3 linked regions of the Struthio camelus genome follow. The protein of the gene in region 3 purifies or fractionates together with the protein of the main gene of each other region. This does not show direct contact. Links are inferred from orthologs where the notes say so. Each region holds a gene or a part of one and is shown on either strand. Other genes may lie near its edges.

Region 1 (7,133 bases), on a different chromosome or scaffold from region 3:
AGAAAAGCCCTTATGGGGCTGCAGTGCACCACAAGCACCCCTGTTTGCTCTAGGAAGCACTAAGGAACAGCCCTCTCATGCCACTAAGTCTAAGGGAGTAAGAGAAACCACTCGTATCAGACACACTTTCACAAATCACCTGCTGTTCGAAAATGCTTAAAGACACCTGAACACAAAACTTGTGACATGCGCAACGCTGACACTTCTATTCTGCTTTTTAAACAGTAATGACTGTACTGAAACATGCGGAGGGAGACCGATTAGTTTCCTTTACAGAGAGAAAGGACCCAAAACTCAGAAGCAGCAAGCGTAAGCCTGGACTACGGCTCGGGAAGCTGAACACGTAACTTAAACGCCGTCCTCGCCTGTCACGGGCTTCCTGTGCGGCCACGGGCAAGCCCCCTGCAGCGCGTCTACGCGGTATATCGCAGTGCCGCTTAAAAAAGGCGCTAGCTCAGGTTCTGGCAGCCGGATAGCGCAGCGCTGCTGTCTGCGCAGCTCCCGCAGCCGTGCTACTTCCAGAACATGACCTAGCTTGCTCAGCGATAGCTCTGATATTTTTGCACAGCGCTACACAGCCCTGGCCATTATCCGCCCAGGTCTCAGCTCCCTCACCTGCAATACGGGGATAACCTCCCGGCCCTGCTGCGGAGGGGTATCGCGCAGACAGGCACGTTCCCGGCTGGCGAGTCCCAGGCGTCGCAAAACGAGACAAGACGAGCGTTACGCCAAACTCTCCTAACAGTTGGGAGAGTTTTCTGCAGGGTGACGTGACGACACCCTGCGGGTGACGTGCCAGCACCGGGCGCGAGGCAGATGCGGCACGAGTAAACCCCCCTCGTCTCCATCCAGATGGGTAAACAAGGTGGCGAGGCACTGACGCGCGCTACGCCAAAGCGGCAAGGAGCCTCAACTTTGCGTTTCACTGCGACCACCGCAAAGAGACAATCCAAACCAGGCTTTACATTAAATGCAAAGTTCAGTATCATTTTGCCGAGTTCCCTGAGCACAGTTTCCCCATGCACACACAGAAAACCAGAATATTTTTATTTATTCATTAAAAAAGAGATCCCATAGCAATTGGAAGAAAGCAGCACGATACCAAAAGCACACCTCCAGTCTAACAGGATAAAATGACAGCTATTACAGGACTGTATTTTCTGTTCCAGCTTGAACAACTATAAAAGCTTTCCAATGCTGGAGAAGACCAGAACGGCAATCTGGACAGAAAACGATTCATAAATCCTGGAAACGTAAATGATTTGCCTGCCAATTTCAACGCGATGTTCCTCACTGCGAGACCTACACGTCCCAGAAGCCCTGCACGGAGGGCTCCTTCCTCGGCCTCGTTCGCGCCGCAACGAATCACAGCGCCGAGCAAAGGAACCACAGAGACGCATCGGCGGCGCCTGATGATCCAGGGTGAAAGAGAGCCTCTAAGTCATCACCCTTCCCACCCAGTTGCCGAGCAGTCTGAATCGCCCCGAATTTCCTCATCAGTTTTGTGCCCCGCAGCTTAGCTACTCGGTGTCTTTTCACTGGGTGAACTATCATTTTTAAGCTGTTCAAACACGTTCACACTAGAGCACTATGATTACCTTGTTGCCCACCATTTTTTTTTATTTAAGACACCAATCCTATACTACTAAATAATACAGAGATGACTACTTTCACACTAAGTTTTCCTCTTTACTAGGCATAGTGAAAGTTTCGACGTACCCTCCCCACGCAAAGTGGAGCGCAGTAACCATCCTGGGGAGACACAACGCTTCTCTAACCATACACCTCACTTTCCCTTCCCTGCCGCAGCCCTGATTTTATCTAAAACTGGCTAAATGCATCTGTCGGAAGCCTTTCAAAGCCGTATCTTGACAGGGAGGGATGGTAGGAGGGGACAAAGCGGAAACACCTTTGGGCAAGAAAGCACAGCCTCCTTTTACAGGAAGAGTGCACCCGACTGCAAAACTTCTAACTTCATTCATACAAAGATCCTAAATTGGACTTCAGCTCCTGCAGCACTAGCCAGTGATGAAGGGATGTTAAAGGTGCTTTAAAATTAGTATTTTGACATAAAGCATCAATTTATTATATCGCATTAACAGTACAATATTTTAAAATAATACATGTTTACTAGAAACTGTGTTTAACAAATATCAAGTTAGGACTGCAAGAGTGAAATATAGATAAACCTGCACTAAAATCCGGTTGGGCATTTTGCACTTGATTACTGTCCTCTTAGTGCAACTGACAGATATAAAAGTGACAAGCTAGAAAACAAATGTAATTTGTTAAGTCATCATTAAACTACATTCTACAGCAGAAGCCAGGTTCCGATTCCTCAGAAAAACGCAGGTGATGAGAAAGGCACGGGTTTTTAGAGACACTTGTGGTCGCTTGCTCCAGTGCGATTTTAAAGAAAGGATTTTTCAGCTCGGTATCCTTTCAGCAGTCCAAATACATGTTTTTCCTCTTCGATAGACAGTACGTGAGGTAGGTACCCTCTCCATTCATTGCAATGGATACAGGTGTTATTTTCACAAATAAGACTATAAAAACTCATTCTGAATTTGGGCCAGCAAAACCCAGAAAAGATATCAATTAGCAAAGTAAAGACAAAGCGCGCTCACGTTTTTAAAGTTGTACGAGCCCCGTGGTCAGTTATCTACAACCTTAGGAAAAACCCTCATGCAGTTTCTATTGATGTGCAACAGTCTGAAGAATTAGTAACGGGAGCGGAAACGCTAAATGCAAGTCTCTGACGAGTTTAAGGCGGAATACTGCGCAGAAAGGACACGCAAAAAAGGATGCCAGCTTGCTATTAAAACGTTTAAAAATTAATGCTTAAAAGAGAGCCAAGAGAAGTGAAGCTCTCAGATTCCCCTGTACCTGTACAGCACGCGGGAACGGATCCTCCTGCAAAGCGGCAGCGTGGGTAACTAAAGACGCAGCCGTTATTCCACGAGGCTCTTTCAAAAGCCATTCGGGAACCCGGAATAGCTCTGCGTGCTGCTGCAGAGCGGGCACCGGGGCAACTTAACGCGGGCAACCAGCTCGGCTGCATGTACGCGATGACGTGTCGGGGGGGAGGCAAGAGCGGAGAAACGGGGGCAAGAGAGCGAGGCGCGAAGTCAGCCCGGCAGCGCGTTTCTTGTTAAGAAACGAACCCAAAACGTCTCCCAGCGGCAAGTTTTCGGGAAAGTTGGCAGGGGCGGGCGGCGCGGGGCCGGCGGCGGCCGGAGCCGGCGGCCCCGGGAAGGGCCTGGAGGCCCCGCGCGGGCGGCGGCGGGTGGGGCGGAGCGGGGGGGGGGGCGGAGCCTGCGCGCGAGGCGGCCGGTACCGGCGGGAGCGCGGGGTGTTCCGGGGGCGGCGCCTCGGGGCGAGGCGGCCGCTACCGGGAGGGCAGCGCGCCGGAAAGGGAGGCGGGAGCTCCCGGTGGGGGCGGGCCGCCCGCGGACACCCCCCACCCCCCCCGCCCCGCCGCGCCGCAGGCCGGGACACCCCCCGCGCCAGGCGGGCCGGACCGGGCCGGGCCGAGGCGGGGCGGGGCGGGGCGCGCCCGCCGTGCGGCGCGGAGCTCCCCGGGGAGGCGCGCGGCGGGCACCGGCCCCCCCCCCCCGCCTTCCTCCTCCTCCTCCTCCTCCCGCGCGCGGCACCGGCGCCAGTCCCCGCCCCCTACGGATCGCCGGAGGGGGCCGGCACCGGCCCGCCCCCGCCCCCCGCCGCCTCTGTCACCCCCCCCCGCCCGCCCCTTACCTCGAAGCGGCCCCTGGCACCGGCCGGAGGCTCCCCCAGGGGGTAGGGGGCGGGGGCCCCGTTGGGCGGCCGCGGGGCCCCTGCGCCCGGCGGGCTCTGCCCGGCCCTGCGAGGGGGGTCCCCGCGCCCCTCCTGCTGCCGGCGGGGGCGGCGGCCGGCGGGCCGCGCCGGGCGGAGGCGGCGCCGGGCCCCGCGCGCGGCGGAGGGAGGCGGGCGCCGGCCGCGGCGGGGGAGGGGGGAGGGGAGGCGGGGGGGGGGTAAGATGGAGTAACCGTCTCTCGGCGGCCGCCGCGGAGCGCTGCCCGCTTCTCTGTTCCCCGGGAAATCCCGCCCCTCCCCGCGCAGGGGGGGGACCCCCGCCCGCCTATTGGGCGCGCCGCCCGTCCGTCGGCGCCGCGGCCAACCGCCGCCTCGCGCCCGCCCCCCTCGCCCGCCCCTATTGGCCGCGGCCCCCAGGAAGGGGATGTGGAGAGGAAGGGAGGGAGGAGGACGGCGAGAGGGGAGGGGAAGGGGGAGCGAACGCTGAAGAAAAATGTCCGTATAAGCAGCAGGCCACGCCCCCCGCCCGCCTCCGCAGGCGCCCGATTGGCGGCCGCCGCCGGCCGCCGGCCAACCAGCGCGCGGGGAGCGCGCCCGTGACGGCGGGGCGCCCTCCCCGCCCCCGGCGGCGGCGGCCCCGCCCCCGGCGGCGGTGGCCCCGCCCCCCTCTGGGGAGCCCTTTTGTGGAATGTTTACATCGGCGGCGGCTGCGCGGGCGGGGGGAGGGGAGCGGCACGGCGCGGTCCCCCCCCCCCCCCCGCCCGCACGTGCTCCCGCATCCCCCCCCGCACCCCGTCCCCAACCCCGCCGGGGCGGCAACAAGTGGCAGGCGCCGGCGGAGCGGCGGCCCGCTGCCCCGCGGCCGGCCCGCGCCGCCGATCTCCTCCGCCCCCCCCCACCCCCGCGGCCTTGTCCGCGCGCCAACGCCGGGGTTAAACAACGAGACCGGGCGCGGAGCGGGGGAAGTCCCCGGGCCACGCGAAGCCTGCGCCCGCCCCCTCCCCGCGGCTCCGCCCGCCGCGGCCCGCTGCCGAGCCGCTGGGAAGCGCCCACGGCACCGGAGCGCCGCCGCCGCGGCCCGCGGGGCGGGGGAGGGGGGGGCCCCCCAGGCGGGGCGGGGCGGCGCTGCCTTTTGTCCCCAAACCCCTCCCCACGCGCGCCGGGCCGCTTCACTTCCGGGATGGCAGCGCCCCACGTGGGGCGGATCGATTACACGTGGGGGGGGGAGGAGGGACGGACACACACACGCACGCACGCCCGCCCGGCCTCTCCGGGCAGGGCCGCGCGCGGGGGGGGCGTGGCCGCCGCCTCGGCGCCCGCCAATCGGCCGCAAGGAGAGGTGCCCTCCTCCCCTCCCCCGCCGCCGTCACCCAGGAGCTTGTCCCTATGGGGGCGGGGGAGGGGGACCTGCGCGCCGCCGGGCCCGCCGGGGGCGTGGCCGAGAGGGACAGCCAATGGGGGCGAGGGGCGGGGCCGGGGCGCTCATGGCCGCGCGCGCCGCGCGGGGGGGGGGTGGGGGGAATGGGGGCGGAGGCGCCGCACGCTCGGCGGCGGGCTGCCCCGGGCCGCGGCCTCCGCCACCCCCCCCTCACCCCTTCACCGGGGCCGCGGCCACGCTCCCTCCCTCCAACTGCTCCGGGAGCAGCGTGGGGCCGCGGGATCGTGGGAGGAGGCCGGGGGGGGGGGGCGAGGCCGGGCCGGTGGTGAGCGGGGGGGGGGATCAGCTGGGCGCCGCTGCCCGGCGCGAGGCGGCGCGGCCGTTGGCGCGGCCGTTGGGGCGGCCGTTGGGGCGCGGGCCCGCCCGCTCCCTTCGCGCCCAACAAGTTTTCCCGCGGCGCAGCCCGCCGGGGGCAGCCGCGTCCCGCCCGGCGGCGGCGGCGGTGGAGGGAGGGAGGGAGGGAGGGAGGGGGGGGAGCCGCGCCGCCCCCCTCGCCCCCTTCCTGGCGCCTCGCCGCCCGCCCCGGCCCCCGCCGCGGCGCACCGCCGCCGCCGCACCGCTGCCCCCCCCCTCCCGCCTCCCCCCGGGGGGGGAAGAAAAACCCGATATTTGGGGGACTAAATTGAAAGCAGCTGTTACATACCCTCAGCGCGCAGGCGAGCCGTCCTGAATGGACGGGAACTCCCCCCGGGGCCGATTGGCCCGGCGCTGCGGCTCGTCACGGCGGGCCCTCCCCGGGCCGCGGGCGGGCGGCGCCGCCCAGCGCCCAGCGCCCGCCCCCGGCCGCGGAGCGCGGCAGGCCGCGGCCCCTCCGCCCCCGGGCCGAGGGCAGCGGGGCGGCGCCGCCGCCCGCCCCAAGCCGCGTTTCTCGAGGCCTGGCAAGGCAGCGTGTCGCGGACCCCCCCCCCGCAGGCCTCGCTGCCCCCAAAGTTAGCTAAACTGGACACCCCCCACCCGGGGGGTTTAGAAAGGGCACCGGCTCGTTCCCCTCAGCACCGTCCCCGGCCCCCTTCCTCTCCCCGCGCTGCCGAGACGGAGGCGTCGCGGCCCCGGAGTCCTGCCCGCACCCCTCTCCCCCCCCCGGCCGTCCCCAGCACGCCCGAAATCCAGGCCCCGAGAGCCCTCGGGCCCGCGCGCCCCCGGCCGCCGCAGAAACACGTTGGGATCGACCAGATCCGAGTTTCTGCTGTGAACGTGATCGCGAGCGTCTTCATTCAACACAAACAGGAAAACAAGGTCAAACCTCTTGCGGTTTTTTTTCCCCCCTTCTTCTTCTCTCCTCTCCAGGTGCTCACCAAAACACTGCCTTTCCCCTTCTCAGCCCCAACTCGAGCTGCCAGAGAGCCCGGGCTGTCGGAGGGGCCGGGCCGTCCCGCCATCCGGAGAGCCGCCGCGCTAGCCGAGGACTCGGACGAGGCGGTGAGGGACTCCCGCCTCCCGCTCGGAGCTGCGATTTAGTTAAGCTGGTTGAAAGGTCTCCGGCCGGGGGATAAGGAGGGTACGTGAATCGCAGGGTGGGTCGACACGGGCTGCTCGGCTTTTTAGGGTCAAGTCTGAGGCTAGCAACGAGTTGAGAAATTAAGCGCTCCAAAGTCGGGCTGTTTCCAAACTCGGCGCTTGCCATCCCGGGCAAATGAACCGCAGATAGCAAGCGGGTTTGCAGGCAGCCAAGAAAACGAGCAAGCCAAGTAAGACAGGTGGGCGCGGGGACCGCATCGTCGCTTTGGGGCTTCCCTGCGCTGCCTTTAAGTCCCGTTTTCAGCCTTGACCAGCGCTTTGGGTTTCATCCTTTGGCTCGTTTCGTTTAAAACGAAAGGAGGCACTCCCCCCCCCCTCGGGGCTGCCCTGCCTCCCCTCCCCTCCCCTCCCGCGCCCCAGGGGAGCGCCGGCCCCGCTTCCAGCT
Region 2 (7,205 bases), on a different chromosome or scaffold from region 3:
TCGACCCTCCTTCTCTTACCACCCCAAACACCCCCTCCCCTCGAGCCCCCTCCTCCTGGCGCCCCTAACGCCCCCTCCCCTCGACCCTCCTTCTCTTACCACCCCAAACGCCCCCTCCCCTCGAGCCCCCTCCTCCTGGCGCCCCTAACGCCCCCTTCCCTCGAGCCCCCTTCTCCTGGCGCCCCTAACGCCCCCTCCCCTCCAGCCCCCTCCTCCTGGCGCCCCTAACGCCCCCTCCCCTCGACCCTCCTTCTCTCACCACCCCAAACACCCCCTCCCCTCGAGCCCCCTTCTCCTGGCGCCCCTAACGCCCCCTCCCCTCGACCCTCCTTCTCTTACCACCCCAAACGCCCTCTCCCCTCGAGCCCCCTCCTCCTGGCGCCCCTAACACCCCCTCCCCTCGAGCCCCCTTCTCCTGGCGCCCCTAACGCCCCCTCCCCTCGAGCCCCCTCCTCCTGGCGCCCCTAACGCCCCCTCCCCTCGAGCCCCCTCCTCCTGGCGCCCCTAACGCCCCCTCCCCTCGAGCCCCCTCCTCCTGGCGCCCCTAACGCCCCCTCCCCTCGAGCCCCCTTCTCCTGGCGCCCCAAACGCCCCCTCCCCTCGAGCCCCCTCCTGGCGCCCCTAACGCCCCCTCCCCTCGAGCCCCCTCCTCCTGGCGCCCCTAACGCCCCCTCCCCTCGAGCCCCCTCCTCCTGGCGCCCCTAACGCCCCCTCCCCTCGAGCCCCCTACTCCTGGCGCCCCTAACGCCCCCTCCCCTCCAGCCCCCTCCTCCTGGCGCCCCTAACGCCCCCTCCCCTCCAGCCCCCTCCTCCTGGCGCCCCTAACGCCCCCTCCCCTCGAGCCCCCTCCTCCTGGCGCCCCTAACGCCCCCTCCCCTCGAGCCCCCTCCTCCTGGCGCCCCTAACGCCCCCTCCCCTCGACCCTCCTCCTCCTGGCGCCCCTAACGCCCCCTCCCCTCGAGCCCCCTCCTGGCGCCCCTAACGCCCTCTCCCCTCGAGCCCCCTCCTCCTGGCGCCCCTAACGCCCCCTCCCCTCGAGCCCCCTCCTCCTGGCGCCCCTAACGCCCCCTCCCCTCGACCCTCCTTCTCCTGGCGCCCCTAACGCCCTCTCCCCTCGAGCCCCCTCCTCCTGGCGCCCCTAACGCCCCCTCCCCTCGAGCCCCCTCCTCCTGGCGCCCCTAACGCCCCCTCCCCTCGAGCCCCCTCCTCCTGGCGCCCCTAACGCCCCCTCCCCTCCAGCCCCCTCCTCCTGGCGCCCCTAACGCCCCCTCCCCTCGAGCCCCCTCCTCCTGGCGCCCCTAACGCCCCCTCCCCTCGAGCCCCCTCCTCCTGGCGCCCCTAACGCCCCCTCCCCTCGAGCCCCCTCCTCCTGGCGCCCCTAACGCCCCCTCCCCTCGACCCTCCTTCTCCTGGCGCCCCTAACGCCCCCTCCCCTCGAGCCCCCTCCTCCTGGCGCCCCTAACGCCCCCTCCCCTCGACCCTCCTCCTCCTGGCGCCCCTAACGCCCCCTCCCCTCGACCCTCCTTCTCCTGGCGCCCCTAACGCCCCCTCCCCTCGAGCCCCCTCCTCCTGGCGCCCCTAACGCCCCCTCCCCTCGAGCCCCCTCCTCCTGGCGCCCCTAACGCCCCCTCCCCTCGACCCTCCTTCTCTCACCACCCCAAACACCCCCTCCCCTCGAGCCCCCTCCTCCTGGCGCCCCTAACGCCCCCTCCCCTCGACCCTCCTTCTCTTACCACCCCAAACGCCCCCTCCCCTCGAGCCCCCTCCTCCTGGCGCCCCTAACGCCCCCTTCCCTCGAGCCCCCTTCTCCTGGCGCCCCTAACGCCCCCTCCCCTCCAGCCCCCTCCTCCTGGCGCCCCTAACGCCCCCTCCCCTCGACCCTCCTTCTCCTGGTGCCCCTAACGCCCTCTCCCCTCGACCCTCCTTCTCCTGGTGCCCCTAACGCCCCCTCCCCTCCAGCCCCCTCCTCCTGGCGCCCCTAACGCCCCCTCCCCTCGACCCTCCTTCTCCTGGCGCCCCTAACGCCCCCTCCCCTCGACCCTCCTTCTCCTGGCGCCCCTAACGCCCCCTCCCCTCGAGCCCCCTCCTCCTGGCGCCCCTAACGCCCCCTCCCCTCGACCCTCCTCCTCCTGGCGCCCCTAACGCCCCCTCCCCTCGACCCTCCTTCTCCTGGCGCCCCTAACGCCCCCTCCCCTCCAGCCCCCTCCTCCTGGCGCCCCTAACGCCCCCTCCCCTCGAGCCCCCTCCTCCTGGCGCCCCTAACACCCCCTCCCCTCGAGCCCCCTCCTCCTGGCGCCCCTAACGCCCCCTCCCCTCGACCCTCCTTCTCTTACCACCCCAAACACCCCCTCCCCTCGAGCCCCCTTCTCCTGGCGCCCCTAACGCCCCCTCCCCTCGACCCTCCTTCTCTTACCACCCCAAACGCCCCTTCCCCTCGAGCCCCCTCCTCCTGGCGCCCCTAACACCCCCTCCCCTCGAGCCCCCTCCTCCTGGCGCCCCTAACGCCCCCTCCCCTCGACCCTCCTTCTCCTGGCGCCCCTAACACCCCCTCCCCTCGACCCTCCTTCTCCTGGCGCCCCTAACACCCCCTCCCCTCGACCCTCCTTCTCCTGGCGCCCCAAACGCCCCCTCCCCTCATCCCCTTCTCTTACCACCCCAAACGCCCCCTCCCCTCACCCCCTTCTCTTACCACCCCAAACGCCCCCTCCCCTCACCCCCTTCTCTTACCACCCCAAACGCCCCCTCCCCCTCACCCCCTTCTCTTACCACCCCAAACGCCCCCTCCACCCCCCCAATCCCCCAGCCCGCCCCCCCCCCCGCCGGGGCCTCCTCCGCGCCCCCCCCCCCCAGGCGCCCCCCGCCCGCCCCCGGCCCCGCTCACCTTGCACAGCCCCGCCAACGGTACCCGAGGGGAAGGGGCCTGCTGGGCGCGGCGGCGGGCGGGCAGGGCACGTCGGGTGGGCGCCGCGGGCCTGGCGGCTTCTCCGTCCGCCTCCGTCAAACAAAAGAGCCCAGCCAGCCCCAGTACCCGCCGCCCGCGCCGCGCCTGCGCCGCGCCGCCCGCCTGGCATCATGGGAGCTGTAGTCCTACGCCCGCCCCCGCCGCGGGGCGCCATGGGAGATGTAGTCCCGCCCGCCGCGGGGCGCCATGGGAGCTGTAGTCGGGCCCGCTGTGCCGCAGCCTCTCCGCCCCGAACGGCCTGCCTCTTCCGCCCGGCCTCTGTCCCGCCCCGCATAGATGCCAGAGAAACACCGGGGCGCAAGCCGCCCGCCCGCGACCCCCGCGCAGCACGCAAGGAGCCCTACACCCCCGCCCCGCGGCGCGGACTACAGCTCCCAGAGTGCCCCGCGCCGCGCCGGAAGGGGAAGCGCGCCGCCCTGGCTATAAGGCCGCCGCGCTGCCGCGCCTGCTTAAAGGGGCCGCTTCTGGCAGGAGGAGGTGAGGGGCCCCCGAGGGGTGGGGGGTGCGCGCTGACACCGGCGGGGTGTCCGGGCTGGGACGGATCCCCTGGGCTGGGGGGCGGCGGCGGCCCTAGGCCTGCCCGATGGCAGAGGGGCGCCGTGGCTGTCCCCTGGGGCTGTGCTGGGGCCGGGCGCCGGGGTGTGGGAGTGGGCCTGGAGGTGGCACTAGGGCAGAGTGATGCTGGGGGGGGGGCCTTGCCCTGCCAGCCCCCTGGGGTGGCACTGGGGCAGGATGGTGCGGGGGGGGGGCCTTGCCCTGCCAGCCCCCTGGGTGGCTCTGGGGCAGGGTGGTGCTTGGGGGGGGGGCCTTACCCTGCCAGCCCTGGTGCTGTCCTGGGGTTGGCACTGGATGTGGCTGCCGTGGGGCAGGGACTGACATTACCTGCCAAGGCTCCTCCTGCCGGGGGAGCTGCGCTGAGCCCAGGGCATGGAGGTAACTGCGTTGCTGCAGAACCGTCTCCTCCACGTGTAAAATGTGGAAAATAATGACTCTGACGCCGCTCCGAGGGGCTCGGAGCGGACAGAGCGCTGGCCCCGGCGCAGTGGGTGACAGCCAGGCCCCGCTTGCGCTGATGGCCCCGCCGAGCTCGGCAGCAGCTCTGCTGCGTCTCTGCCACATGAATACAGTGACGATAGCGTGGTTAAACTGGCCCTTGTATAGGCGCAGGTATGGCAGTTGGCTGTTTGGAGAAGTCTGGTTCCGTTTGGAAGTGATGAACTGGGGAAATCCTTCTTTGGGGTCTGTTTGAATGCGGAACCCGTTCCCCACTGGAAAGGAAAACAAATAATTTCAGAAAATCTCTCTGAGGTCTGTTTTCTGAATGGAAACCCAGTTCATTACTCTGGGTGTGACAAGTAAAAGCAGAAACAAGTTGGACTTGTTCCTATTTGGTTTTTCCCCCTTTCTGTGGAACTCTTCTGTGAAGCTTTCCTCAAAACTCAAAGCTAAAGTAGAAGTCACCTGGGGCCTGGGGTCCTGCTGTACCTGCTAAGGATGGAAGTGAAACCTTGGGCCACTGGCGGGCTGGCCTGGAGTCGTGCAGGGAGCGGCTCTGGCGGAGGGAGGGTCTCCTGCGGTCCCAGAAGGGATGCAGAGCTGCGTGTCAGGAGCTGGACTATGTGGTCATCGATGTGCGCTGGTAGGAAAGAGCATTCAATGCAGGTCCCGCTGGTAAGGAGGGTGACAGACTGCTAAGGATGTGTCTGAGTCAGCCAGGCAGATAAAAGATAACGAGTAAAAGAGAAAAACAAACGCTTTATCTGTAAGAAGTGCGTGTATGGGGCTGACTTGGCAGCGTGGAGTTGGACCACTTCTCCGTTCTGTTAAAAACAAGGTCTGTGTCACATCCTGGGCTGTGCTGACTGACTTTTTAATGGGTTAAGCACAGACTTGATCTGCCTGCAGAAGGACAGTGCAGAAACCCTTCCTCAGCGCTGCTAACCACATCACTCTGGAGTCACAAGCTGTCTTGAAATCAGGTTAAAAGTTATGAGGCTCCAAGAGCGCAGATGATGGGGTTTAAGTTTGGCTTCCAAGCCTCTTGTCCTTCCAGCCAGAAGACACTGGAAGTGTGAGCCCTGAAAACACTAAAATGCAAATTAGAGGAAGATTAAACCAAACCATGTATCCCAAGGCCCCTTAAACTGAGGCTTTAAGCAAAAGCTCTAAAAAGAGGATTTGGCATCACTGTTTAAAGCTAATTCAAAGCTGCCTTCTCCATTTGGTTTAAGTTGATTTATCAAGTTTAAGATAATTAGCTCTAAATAAAGCTTAAATGAGATTATGCGTTTCCTGATACACTGCTGAATGAAAGTACCAGTAAAAGATGGTACAAGACGTGAGCACTACTTCCCAGGTTATCTTTAAACAAATAACTAAGCCTTTGTGCTGTACCAGGCCCTCAAGCTGAATTCCAGTGTCCTGCTGCAACCTAGTCGTCCTAGCTCTGCCCGAGGCACCTGATCCGCGGCTGGTCTCGCCTCCCCAGGCTGCCAGGGTCGGTGAGCGCTGCTGCTCTCTGATTAACCCATCTCTGTTCTCCCTCAGCCTGCCTGCCTCTTTGCTGACTAGCGGAGAGCCGTCTCCCCCTCCTGGGTCTCTGCTCTTCGGAGCACCCTTTCAGCAGCTGGGAAATTAAATTTCTCTTCCTGGCAGCTCTCTGCTATTCCATTAGGCAATTTGTGAGTCTCTCTCTTTCCCCCCCCTGCCTCCTCCTGCATTTTTAATCTAAGCAGGGCTGTTACACAGAGCAAGGAGCTCTGAAAGCAACAGGACCGAGGCAGCATCTCTGGGGAGGCCGAGGAACATAATGGTCAAGTTGTGCTGCTGAGCTGGTTCTGGATGGGAGCCCCCAGCACGGGGGAGGAGCTGAGCTCCCCCCCCCCGCCCCCTGTTACTGCACTCAGCAAAGTGACTAATGTCACATTTGGCTCCTTCTCTCCCCTCCTTCCCTGGGGGAAGAATCATGTGCAGTGAAGTGTTGTGTTTTGGGTAGGTTCCCCTTGCCCTCCTCCTTGCAGCTCAAATTGGAAACAGCAGCAGCCTGACCGAGCTCCAGCAAGAGTTCAATTACTTGGAGATATCCAGAAGCTGCTTGCTGTCTATCCTGAAATGGTCTCTTGCTGTCTCCCGAAACTCTTCTCTGCTCTTTATTAACGCTTTCTGTGCTTTCCAGCATGAATTGGACGGCTGAGGTCTTTCAGAAAGGACCTACAAACCGGTGGAGCCAGATTTTTTTTTAAAAGGTGGTTTGTGGCTCACCCCTCCCCTTGTCCCAGCTAAAATTAGCTCCGTCTTCAGAAGGGCTTTGCTTCACATCTGAGCATATAAATAAAGGCTGTGTTTCCAGTGCTGCCTGGCACTTGGCAGCTCTCATGGCCTAAAAGGCAAGACTCCAGGAACCCGGAACAGGTGAAGGGTTGCTTTGCCTCAGTGACGAGGCAGCCGTGTCCCTCGGGAGCCTGGGCTGTGACAGGCAAAGTCCTGAGCTGCCGGTTCATCCCAGGGGCTCCAAAACATGTTGCAAACAACCCAGCCAGAGTAGGTGAAACCAGGACACTGAACGCACTTGGTCTTCCAGCTCCCCCTGATGAGCAGCCCTGGTCTGTGTGGTGTCCAGGAGGATGCACGCTGTCTCGGAGGGGTTTCACTGGCTGGACTGTGATGCATTTACTGGTGGCGGGGGGTTATCTGGCTGTCCCCCATCCCCAGAGCACTGGCACTCTGCTCGTGGTATGGTTGCAGAACAGGAATTACTGCAGGAGTGTGTAATGGAGCAGCAAATTGGCTGACACCATCCCACAGGACCCAGGAATACCAGAGGGATGTGGCAAAGGAAGTGGTTTGTGCGATGGGAACGTGCAAACAGCTCGCAACATAGCTGAGCCAGGAAAGCTTCGTAGCCGACAGCCCAGGGGTTCGCTGGGCAGGTTCACAGGTCTCTGTGGGCTTTGCAAGTGCTGCCTGGCTCCCCCCTTTCCTGCTGGGAGAAGAGTAGGGGGTGAAGGAGGAGCGCAAGTGAGAGTGGTCACAATGCAGACACACAATCTAACTGCATGGGGAAACTGCACTGAATGTGTTGCTTATTCAGGTGAATTGTGAGAGTTGAAGAGAAACAGCCTATCAGTATCTGGTGCTAATGGGAGACTTACTGTGGTGGCAGCTGGAGAACTGGTCTCTGCAGGTGAAAAGCAGGTTTCCTCTGGCAGCCCAGGAGCGCTGGGTCTCATGGACAAGGCTGGTC
Region 3 (8,189 bases):
GGAGGAAGCTCTCTCCAGCTGAGGTAGGGGATTTCTGTCCCAGCTTGTTTTGTAGTATTTCTGCTAACTGATTGCAAGAGGAGATATGTTTCAGTGTTAGTGATTTTGCCAACACACGCAAGCTTTAGTAGCGGAGACGGAGATAGGTATTATGGAATTGCAATCCAGGCAGCTTAGACCAGTAGGCCATTACTGCAGTCTTTCTGAGACCACACTTGCTTCTTCTGTGACTGGATTCACCTGTTTGCTTCATGATGAGGGTAATAGGGCATACGTCTAGGGCATTTTAGGGAAATGGTGACTTAAAAATGGTAATTACTAAGCAACCTTAACTTTGTGGATTGCTTCCAGCTTTGATTAGTCATTGTATACAAAAATCCATGTTAAAAAACTGGTAATGTTGCAAAGTCAAAATGTTGCCAATGCAAAATAACATTCCTTCCTCTGTCTTACTCAGTGCCTCCAACTCCAGAAAAACAAAGGAACATGGGAAATTCAAATCTGAATGTCTGAAGTTTGCCAAAATTCTGAGCAACCGAAAACAGACTTGTGATGGAAAATATCAAGCAACCTTAGCTAGAGGTTTCAGTACCAAGTATATTTGTAATATGTTTTTAGCATGAGCAATCAAAGTAGCAAAACATATAGAGACAGAGATCAACACTTCATTTTTAGAGGGGGCTGACTAAAAGAACAATCCCCCGTCTTCTGTATCTTCCCAGTTCCCCGCTACTAGGAGAGCTTCATGCAATAGGAGAGCTTTGGCTCACACAGTGTGGTTCTGGCTGCACAACTGTGCCATTCACCCTGCCCCCTTCTCCTCCCGGCAAAATAGCAGAATCTGGCCCAATATTCCATGACCAGCGCAGAGCAAAGTGTTTATGGCACATCAGATGCAGAGTCACGCTGGTATAAGAGCAGTTCTTACCTAGGTGGTTGTTAGAGTGACCAGATCCTCTGCTGAAACTAGTATGTTAGTCTCAAAAAAAGAAATATACATGGTCTGTTCAGTGGTTCTTGATCCCATTCTGATTGTATACTACCCAATTTTCCTTGTTTCCCTGCAAGTTTTTGTTTGCCATTTGTTCCAGGGGCATCTGCTCTCTATAGGAGCACCTACTTGGACATGACAGAAGTGGCTCATATCTCTTCTCCACAAGAAAAGGAGACCATTTCTGTATCATTTGCTTCCATGTCTGACACGAAAGCGAAGACACTTCCAGTGTGGTAAACAATGCATCTTTGTGAAAAGGAGAGGAGGGTAATGAAGAAGACAACAGTGAAAAAGGGTCTTTTAAACTGCCTTAGCTTGCCATGAGGACTTTTCAGAAATCTGGAAGTGGGGAAGAGCAAATTTTGAAAGTATCTGGGATAAAGTGCTCTGCAGCTTCGCGGTATTGGGGAATCCTTGAAAAATTCAGGCCATTTGTTTTGACTAGTGTTGAAGACAAAGTATTCTCACAAAAGTTAGTTAGACACTATAAAAATGTAGGATTGAAGAGACAGGCTCAGGGATAAGAACTGAATGCTGAGTGAAAGTTCGGACCAATTTCCTTCTAATTTTAAAGTAAAAGTTATATATCTGGGAATTTGATACCCTTCTTCCCTAAAATGATCTACAGCAAGATTCTCTGCATTACCAAAGAAAAATGAAAGGCAAGACTTGTCAGAAATCCTAGGATCTTCAAGGCTACTTGGCAGAAGCTGCTAGACCTCAACTCAGAATAATGGCAAGCGTCGGTATGATAGGGAGAGCTCGCATGATTGCTGAACAGGAGAATGCTCTGCAAGCAATGATGAGTCCATTCACTTTAGCTACAAATGGTCAAAACTGGGTTAGAGGAAGAGATGAAATGTACCTACAGAGTGTGAGGAACAGTATCACATTTATGGATACATCAGATGATGCCAATTGTACACAGATGCTGAAAGATATTTGCATGTTACTAGTTATATTTAACCTGACAAAGAAAATGGTTATTATAGTCAGGCTAGAGCAGCCTCAGCCAGAAGAACGGCAAAAATGAAGAAGAGTAAAACAGAAGTACATCTGTATCCCAGGACTCAAATGAAGCAATACACAGGCAGCATCACAACCTCCAGCATCTAAAACCATTAATACCTCTGCTTTGGTACTGAACACAAAAGGAGCTAACAGAAAAATAAGCTGGGACACCATAAACTTGACCTCTAAGATCACATTGTCTGCACCGCCAGCAAGTCATGGATATTATCCATTATCTGTGCCTTATGCCTTACGTAGTTAACATTAGCCCGTAAAGTCTGCTTTCTTTCTAAAGTGCTTTAATGTCCCTTCTCCCGCATTCTTGACTCCCACATTCAGCAACACTGAAATATTCTAGATGAGGGATTCCTAGCCTCCACTGGTGCCTGAGTAACACCACTGAACTAAGTACTGCATGGAAACAATGTCACACTTTGCTCTTCTGGTTACCTTGAAGAAACAGGTCTCTATGGAAAGTGAAAGTGAAGACAGACAGTGAGCTATGGTAAAAGTCCGGGGTCAGTAGCCAGGGCTAGTGGTAGCAGATGCATGGCTGAAAGTGCCAGAGGCAGAGTAGGCTATCTGCAATATGGAGGAAGATGGAGCAGGGCTCGCTCCTGGATCCCCAGACTGGGACATGAGCCTTCAATGAGGCCCCTTAGGCCAGGAATAAGGATCATGCATGAAACTACAGAAATAGTTTAAATAGAGGCCACACCACCATGTTACCATGGGGATATACAGCCCACTTTATCCAACTATCCTTAGATGGGTGTACAGAGGTGTATGGAGAATGCTTTGGTTGATTAGGATTTCCCTAACATAGGCACAGCATCAAAGTGGGGGAATACTGCAGGGATGTCTCCCCCCTCCCCCCCCCCCCCCAAAATGTGCTATGTTTTTCAGAGAGCTAACACAGATCAGGAAGTATGGAAGATTATATTGTAGAGATGGTGCTGTGATTTTTTTCCAAGCTAAGTGCTATAAACTCAGAAGATTCGGTTAAACTTGCTAAGTAATCAAGAAACAGTGAGGTAGGGCAACTTTGCAGTTTAAAGCAGCCAAACAGCTGGAACTCTGTCTTGTAGTGTTATGATCAATGCAAAACATTTAGAAGTCTCCCCTCGCCTTTTTTTAATCCATGTAATGTACTTGATTCTCACAAACACTAAAAACACCTCAATCATAATTTGTATTTAGCATGGAATTTTTACAGTGAAAATTAAGGTTTCTGCTGACTGATAAACTTTGAGTTACGAAGAAAAAATGAGTTGGAAGTGAGGTGGGAAAGGCATAGTATTAACGATAAAAATATGTTCAAGTGTGGTGTATAGAAAGATTTCAGCAAAGTAGCGGCTAATTGGGAAGCTTGGCACTTCTGTAGCTGAGATGCTATACGTGTTGCATAACTGGTAGTAAACAGCCCTCTCAAGATTGCAACCCTACCAGCAAGAGTGTTACAGAGTATGCACAGAGATAGCTCTAGTAACTCCCTTTATGGTGTCTTTGCCTGTGTAGTGCCTTTTAATATGCGATCAAACCACTAGGAGCGAGATTTTAAGAGGTGTACTTAGAATTCTGTAGTAACTATTTAGGGCTGGCCTGCTTAGCATGGGAATTTGGCATGGCTGTCCACATAGCTGCTATTAGAGAGGATTATGGCTGTCTGTGCAAAAGAGGTAATGAAAAGTCCTATGGGGGTCTGTGTGAGTTTGGCAGTACCGAGTGGATAGCATTATCATACGTACACAGAACATACTGTTATGCCATATCCATATGGAGGATAGATAGTATCTGTAGTATAGTAACACATAGCTCTTTCATACCACTTTTCCACTGTAGATCTGAAATAAATGATAGTGTCAGTGCAATTCAAGTAAAGGTATAGTATAGGTATGTACTGCATGTGTGTGTAACACGTGGTTGGAAGGGTGGTGGGATTTTCTATACATGTAAGAAGGTAAATAGTGCAATAGTATTTTGGAGTATACAGCCTAGTTTTTGCTAATAATGGAGGAAGGATGTGCAGAGGAGGGGTGGGTCGTACTATGGAATGCCTGCATATTTAGACAGCATTACAGGACTGTATTGAAATACGCATTGTTGAAGGGCATAGGAACGAAATGGTTGAGCTTGACAGTATTTCAGCACAAAGGTGCTTATCGTGAGGAGGAGGGCAGTCTGGTGGCTGTGCATGTGTGTAGTGAAGTATTTGCTAACATTATGGAAAATCCAGGCACACAGCAGAAGCAAATGGATAGTGTTACGGAATATCTATGTATACAGTGTACGTAGGGACATATTTTTGGTATGGTTTGCATGACAAAGTATAGATTGTATTACAGGATGGATGTTAGCAGTAAGGCCGCCGCTAATATATTGGGAATCTGTGTCTTACAGCAGCGGGCCAGTGCCACTGTGCGCAATGGGCATGTGTACCAAAAGAAGTGGGATGGCAGCGTAGAATGTTTTTATCTAAAGAGGGATGAGTATAATCTTTGACACCTGTGTATTTATTGGGTGAGACGGACAGTAGGGTGCATCTGCCTTTATTGAGATTAATAGTGTTAATAAAGATGCTAAATTGGGGATAGGTAATATTATGGCATGTGATTTTGTGTAATGAAAAATTAATGATATTGTTGCATGTGCATAATTGGGGTGTATTTATTTTTATGGACTATTCATGTCAATATAACGTGATGATTAGTTTGCTGGTGGAGGGCACTAGCAGGGAGCGGTGTGTTGCTCTATAAAACGGCTATGTCTCGAGCAGGAGGGAGGAACAGCACATATTGGAGGTTTTCTCTGTATCCCTGGGGTAGGAATAGTTTTAAAGGTACCGGCGTTTATGACAGGCGGATGCATTGTGTGTGTGGTCAGGAGGTGACAGGAGTCACTGTGGGATTGACACACAAGCTGCTGATGGTGGCTGGTGATTGCGCTGTAGAGCGCCGTGGACTACTGGTGGGTACCGCGAAGGGGCCCGCAGCGCTGTTGGGTGCACGCGACAGAGCGGAGAGTGCCAGCGTGCTATGGGGCACCGTGGGCCCGATTCTGGCAGGTGCGTGAAGGAGGAGGTGGAAACGCGATACAAACGCCATACGTGGCTCTCTCGGGATGCCTGCCTCTGCCTATGGAGAGAAGGGATGACCAGGCACCCAGGGGTGCGCGTGGGAAGGACCTCCTGGGTGCTGCAGAGCCGGGCGCCGGACAGGCAGAGGGAGCAGCGCTGCACCAGGGCAGGCGCGCAGCGAGCTCGGTGGGGCGCTCAGTAGTCCACTATCAAGGGTCGGGCGAGAAGCGTGAGCGTGGCGGCCACGGTTCCCGCGGACGGCGACGCCTGGCTTCGGCTCCCGCCCAGCACCAGCGAAGCCTGCCCTCCACGCTCAGGGGTGAGCGGGGCGGTGGGCGCAGGGGGCCCGCCGGGGCAGTGGCAGCCGGCACCAGGGTCCTGTTGCTGCCCCGGCGGCTGCCTCCGAGGGGGAGGGTGGTGCCCGCCGTGGGGCCTGTGGAGCCCGTGTGGCCGGGAGGCACGCAGGGGCCGGGCGGCGGTGCCAGAGCGCTACAGTGGCGCGGCTGGCCGGGCGCCCCGGGGCCGTTAGGGGCCGCGCGGAGGGGACGGGGCCCCGCGGCGGGAAAGGCCCCCGAGGGCGGCGGCGGCGGGCGGGGCGGGGCGGGGGCCGCGGGTGGGCTGGGGGCGGCGGCGGCGCGGTGGGGAGGGTGGCTGGGAGTATTATGGGATGTCTGGCTGGACGGTGGCTCCCGGCGACTATTATGGGATGCCTGCCTGAGCGCGGGGGGGTGGGGTGGGGGTGTGACTATTATGGGATGTGCGCCTGGGGTATGACTATTATGGGATGTGCTGGGGGTTATTGCAGTGTGCGGGAGGCGGGGGGGGGGCCGACCAGGGGACGTGCCTATTATGGGATGGCAGGCCGGGCAGCGGGGGCGCGGGGTGAGGGGGGCGCGCGCGGGGGGCTGGTAGGGGACGAGTATTATGGGATGCCTGAGTGAAGGGGTTAGAGTGTGGGGAGTATTATGGGATGTTTCTCGGAGGGACGGTTGTATTATGGGATGTTCCTGCTGGGAGGGGTTATTATTATGGGATGCCGGGCCGGGCAGTGAGTGGGAAGTTCTGAGGGGAGGGCGAGTATTATGGGATGTCTCAGTTGGGGGGGTTGCCAGGGAGACGGGGGCGGGGCCCGTTGCTGGGGTCCCGGGGCATATTATGGGATGGAGGCGGGAGTGGGGCGGGGCCTGGCTGGGTTTTTTCCCCTTTAAGAGGCGGTGCCGGGGCCGGAGCCATTTTCCCTTCAGCAGCGGCGGCGGCGGCGAGCGAGCGAGCAGAGCTGGGGTCTTGAGCCGGGTGAGGAGCTGGGAGGGGGCGGGTAGAGCTTTCCGCCGCTGCTTGGGGTGTCTCTGGCTGCGGGCGCCCCTACGCGCCGTGGGCCGCCAGACGCAGCTCCCTCGGGGCTGCGCTGTCCTCCTGCTCGGGCGACCGCAGGACCGCGGCGACACAGCACCGGCGAGCAGCCGCCCCGCCGGTGCCCGCTGCCCCGGCCGCTGCCAGCCGCTCGGCTCCCGGCCCGGCGCCCGTCCCTGGGGAGAAGCGGCCCCTCGCCGCATGCGAGCCGGACTTCCCCGGCCCCGCCCCGCGCCCCCGCCCGGGCGACCGTGCCCCGCCGCGACGCTGCCCCCCCTCCCCCCCCCCCCCGCCCGCCTGCCACCCCCGCCCTGCGCCGCGCAGCCCCGCTCCGGGCGGGGGCGCGGGAGCGGCGGGCAGCGGAGCGGGGCTGCCGGCGCCGCCGAGCCGGTCCTGCCTTTTGTGCGCGCCCGCGGCGCGCGATCGCCCCGGTGGCAGCGGGCTGCAGGGACCCGAGGAGGAGGGGGAGGCTGCTGCTCGCCTGCCTCTCCGGCCGTGGTGGCTGCAGCCCGGGGCTGGCGCGCCAAGTTTGTGCAGGCGAGTTGGGGACTCCCGGCAGCACTTGTTCCGCCGCTGTCCGCCGTACCGGTCCCGGGCTCAGCCCCGACCGCCGCGGTGGCTGTGTGGCTCGCTGACAGCGCCCTGATTCAAGGTCTCCTTTGGAAAATCCGCCTCCCCTTCTTGCCTCTCCTTCTCCCAGTCCAAAGTAGAAATAACCTAGGGCGCACGCATTCTGGTCTGGCCCCTGATTGCAGGGGAAAGGAAAATTTCCCATAGGCTAGCTGTTTTGGCTTCCTTGCAAGGGATGAGTCGCTGACTCAGTTTACTATCTAGTGTCTTCAGAGTCTACTTCATCACAACTTTAAGCTGATACCTGCTGCCAGTGTTTCTATTATCTGTAGGCTCCAAATCCAGTAAAGCTGCCGTCCAAGCTTTCTCACAGATCTCCTTGTTAGCACTATTGCTTGGGAAACAGGAGTTCAGGTGCACTATAACTTTCTCCTTTCCTTTTCAATAAAGTACTGGCTTGACTGGCAGGAAGACACCTTGTATGAGCCTGGGCCTCCACCAGTTTGGAGGACATGGCATCGGGCATTGGATCTCCATCCCCGTGCTCAGGGGGCAGTGATGATGATGACATGGAGATTCTGTTGAACAACGCTATCTCCCAGCATCAAGGTACAGAGCCTACGGGGCATGAGTGTGTGAACTGGGGAGATGCTATTTTCATGCTGAATATGTGAGAGAGATGAAGATGATGTGCAAGGCAATGTTGTACTTTGCTAGGAGTCATGCATGTGCTTTTTTTTTTTTTTTTCAGTATGTGAGTCCTAGCTAGGATTAGCTCAAAATGAGGCTCACAGCTTTTAGTCAGGTGGAGCTGACTTTGTTCCAAGCCATTGCAGGTTGTCAGGGGCCTGTGCTTTGAGGAGGTATAAGGGGGTGGAGGCAGAGGGGTGGATTCTGACAGGGCACTGAAATGCCTGCAAGTTTCATGTTTCATGAATGGGGAGGGGGAAGAGGGGCAGTATGTGAAAGGGCAGGGTGTCTGACTTTCTTTCATCTGGGAACTCAGACCTGCTGACGTCCAGAGCAAACTGCCCTGGGCTGTTGTGTGACCCACTTTCTTCACCACACCCAATTATTGAGATTTCTTGTGGCTCTTGGTCTGTGCTGCTTGCTCACCTTTGCTTTTCTTTGAGTTTTTGTACCTAGCTTTTTCCCTGGTGCTTGCATCCTCGTCATCAGCATAGAGGC

Evidence for each region. The genes of interacting proteins can lie anywhere in the genome.
Region 1: the proteins of CHD4 (region 3) and SIN3A purify together in Homo sapiens (affinity purification with mass spectrometry; 3 studies listed by BioGRID, with this or other methods). This does not show direct contact. The link is inferred for Struthio camelus from reciprocal best matches to the Homo sapiens genes CHD4 and SIN3A.
Region 2: the proteins of CHD4 (region 3) and CBX1 purify together in Homo sapiens (affinity purification with mass spectrometry; 7 studies listed by BioGRID and IntAct, with this or other methods). This does not show direct contact. The link is inferred for Struthio camelus from reciprocal best matches to the Homo sapiens genes CHD4 and CBX1.

Annotation. Positions count from the first base shown.
Region 1 is NC_090953.1:23,130,707-23,137,839, reverse strand, and holds the start of SIN3A (paired amphipathic helix protein Sin3a), read right to left. Parts: upstream 3,077-7,133; 5' UTR 3,062-3,076; coding exon 2,887-3,061; intron 1-2,886. UniProt on the Homo sapiens protein: Acts as a transcriptional repressor. Corepressor for REST. Interacts with MXI1 to repress MYC responsive genes and antagonize MYC oncogenic activities. Also interacts with MXD1-MAX heterodimers to repress transcription by tethering SIN3A to DNA.
Region 2 is NC_090966.1:5,724,218-5,731,422, reverse strand, and holds the start of CBX1 (chromobox protein homolog 1), read right to left. Parts: upstream 3,077-7,205; 5' UTR 2,882-3,076; intron 1-2,881. UniProt on the Homo sapiens protein: Component of heterochromatin. Recognizes and binds histone H3 tails methylated at 'Lys-9', leading to epigenetic repression. Interaction with lamin B receptor (LBR) can contribute to the association of the heterochromatin with the inner nuclear membrane.
Region 3 is NC_090942.1:90,895,093-90,903,281, forward strand, and holds the start of CHD4 (chromodomain-helicase-DNA-binding protein 4), read left to right. Parts: upstream 1-5,131; 5' UTR 5,132-5,400; intron 5,401-6,290; 5' UTR 6,291-6,374; intron 6,375-7,451; 5' UTR 7,452-7,513; coding exon 7,514-7,610; intron 7,611-8,189. UniProt on the Homo sapiens protein: ATP-dependent chromatin-remodeling factor that binds and distorts nucleosomal DNA. Acts as a component of the histone deacetylase NuRD complex which participates in the remodeling of chromatin.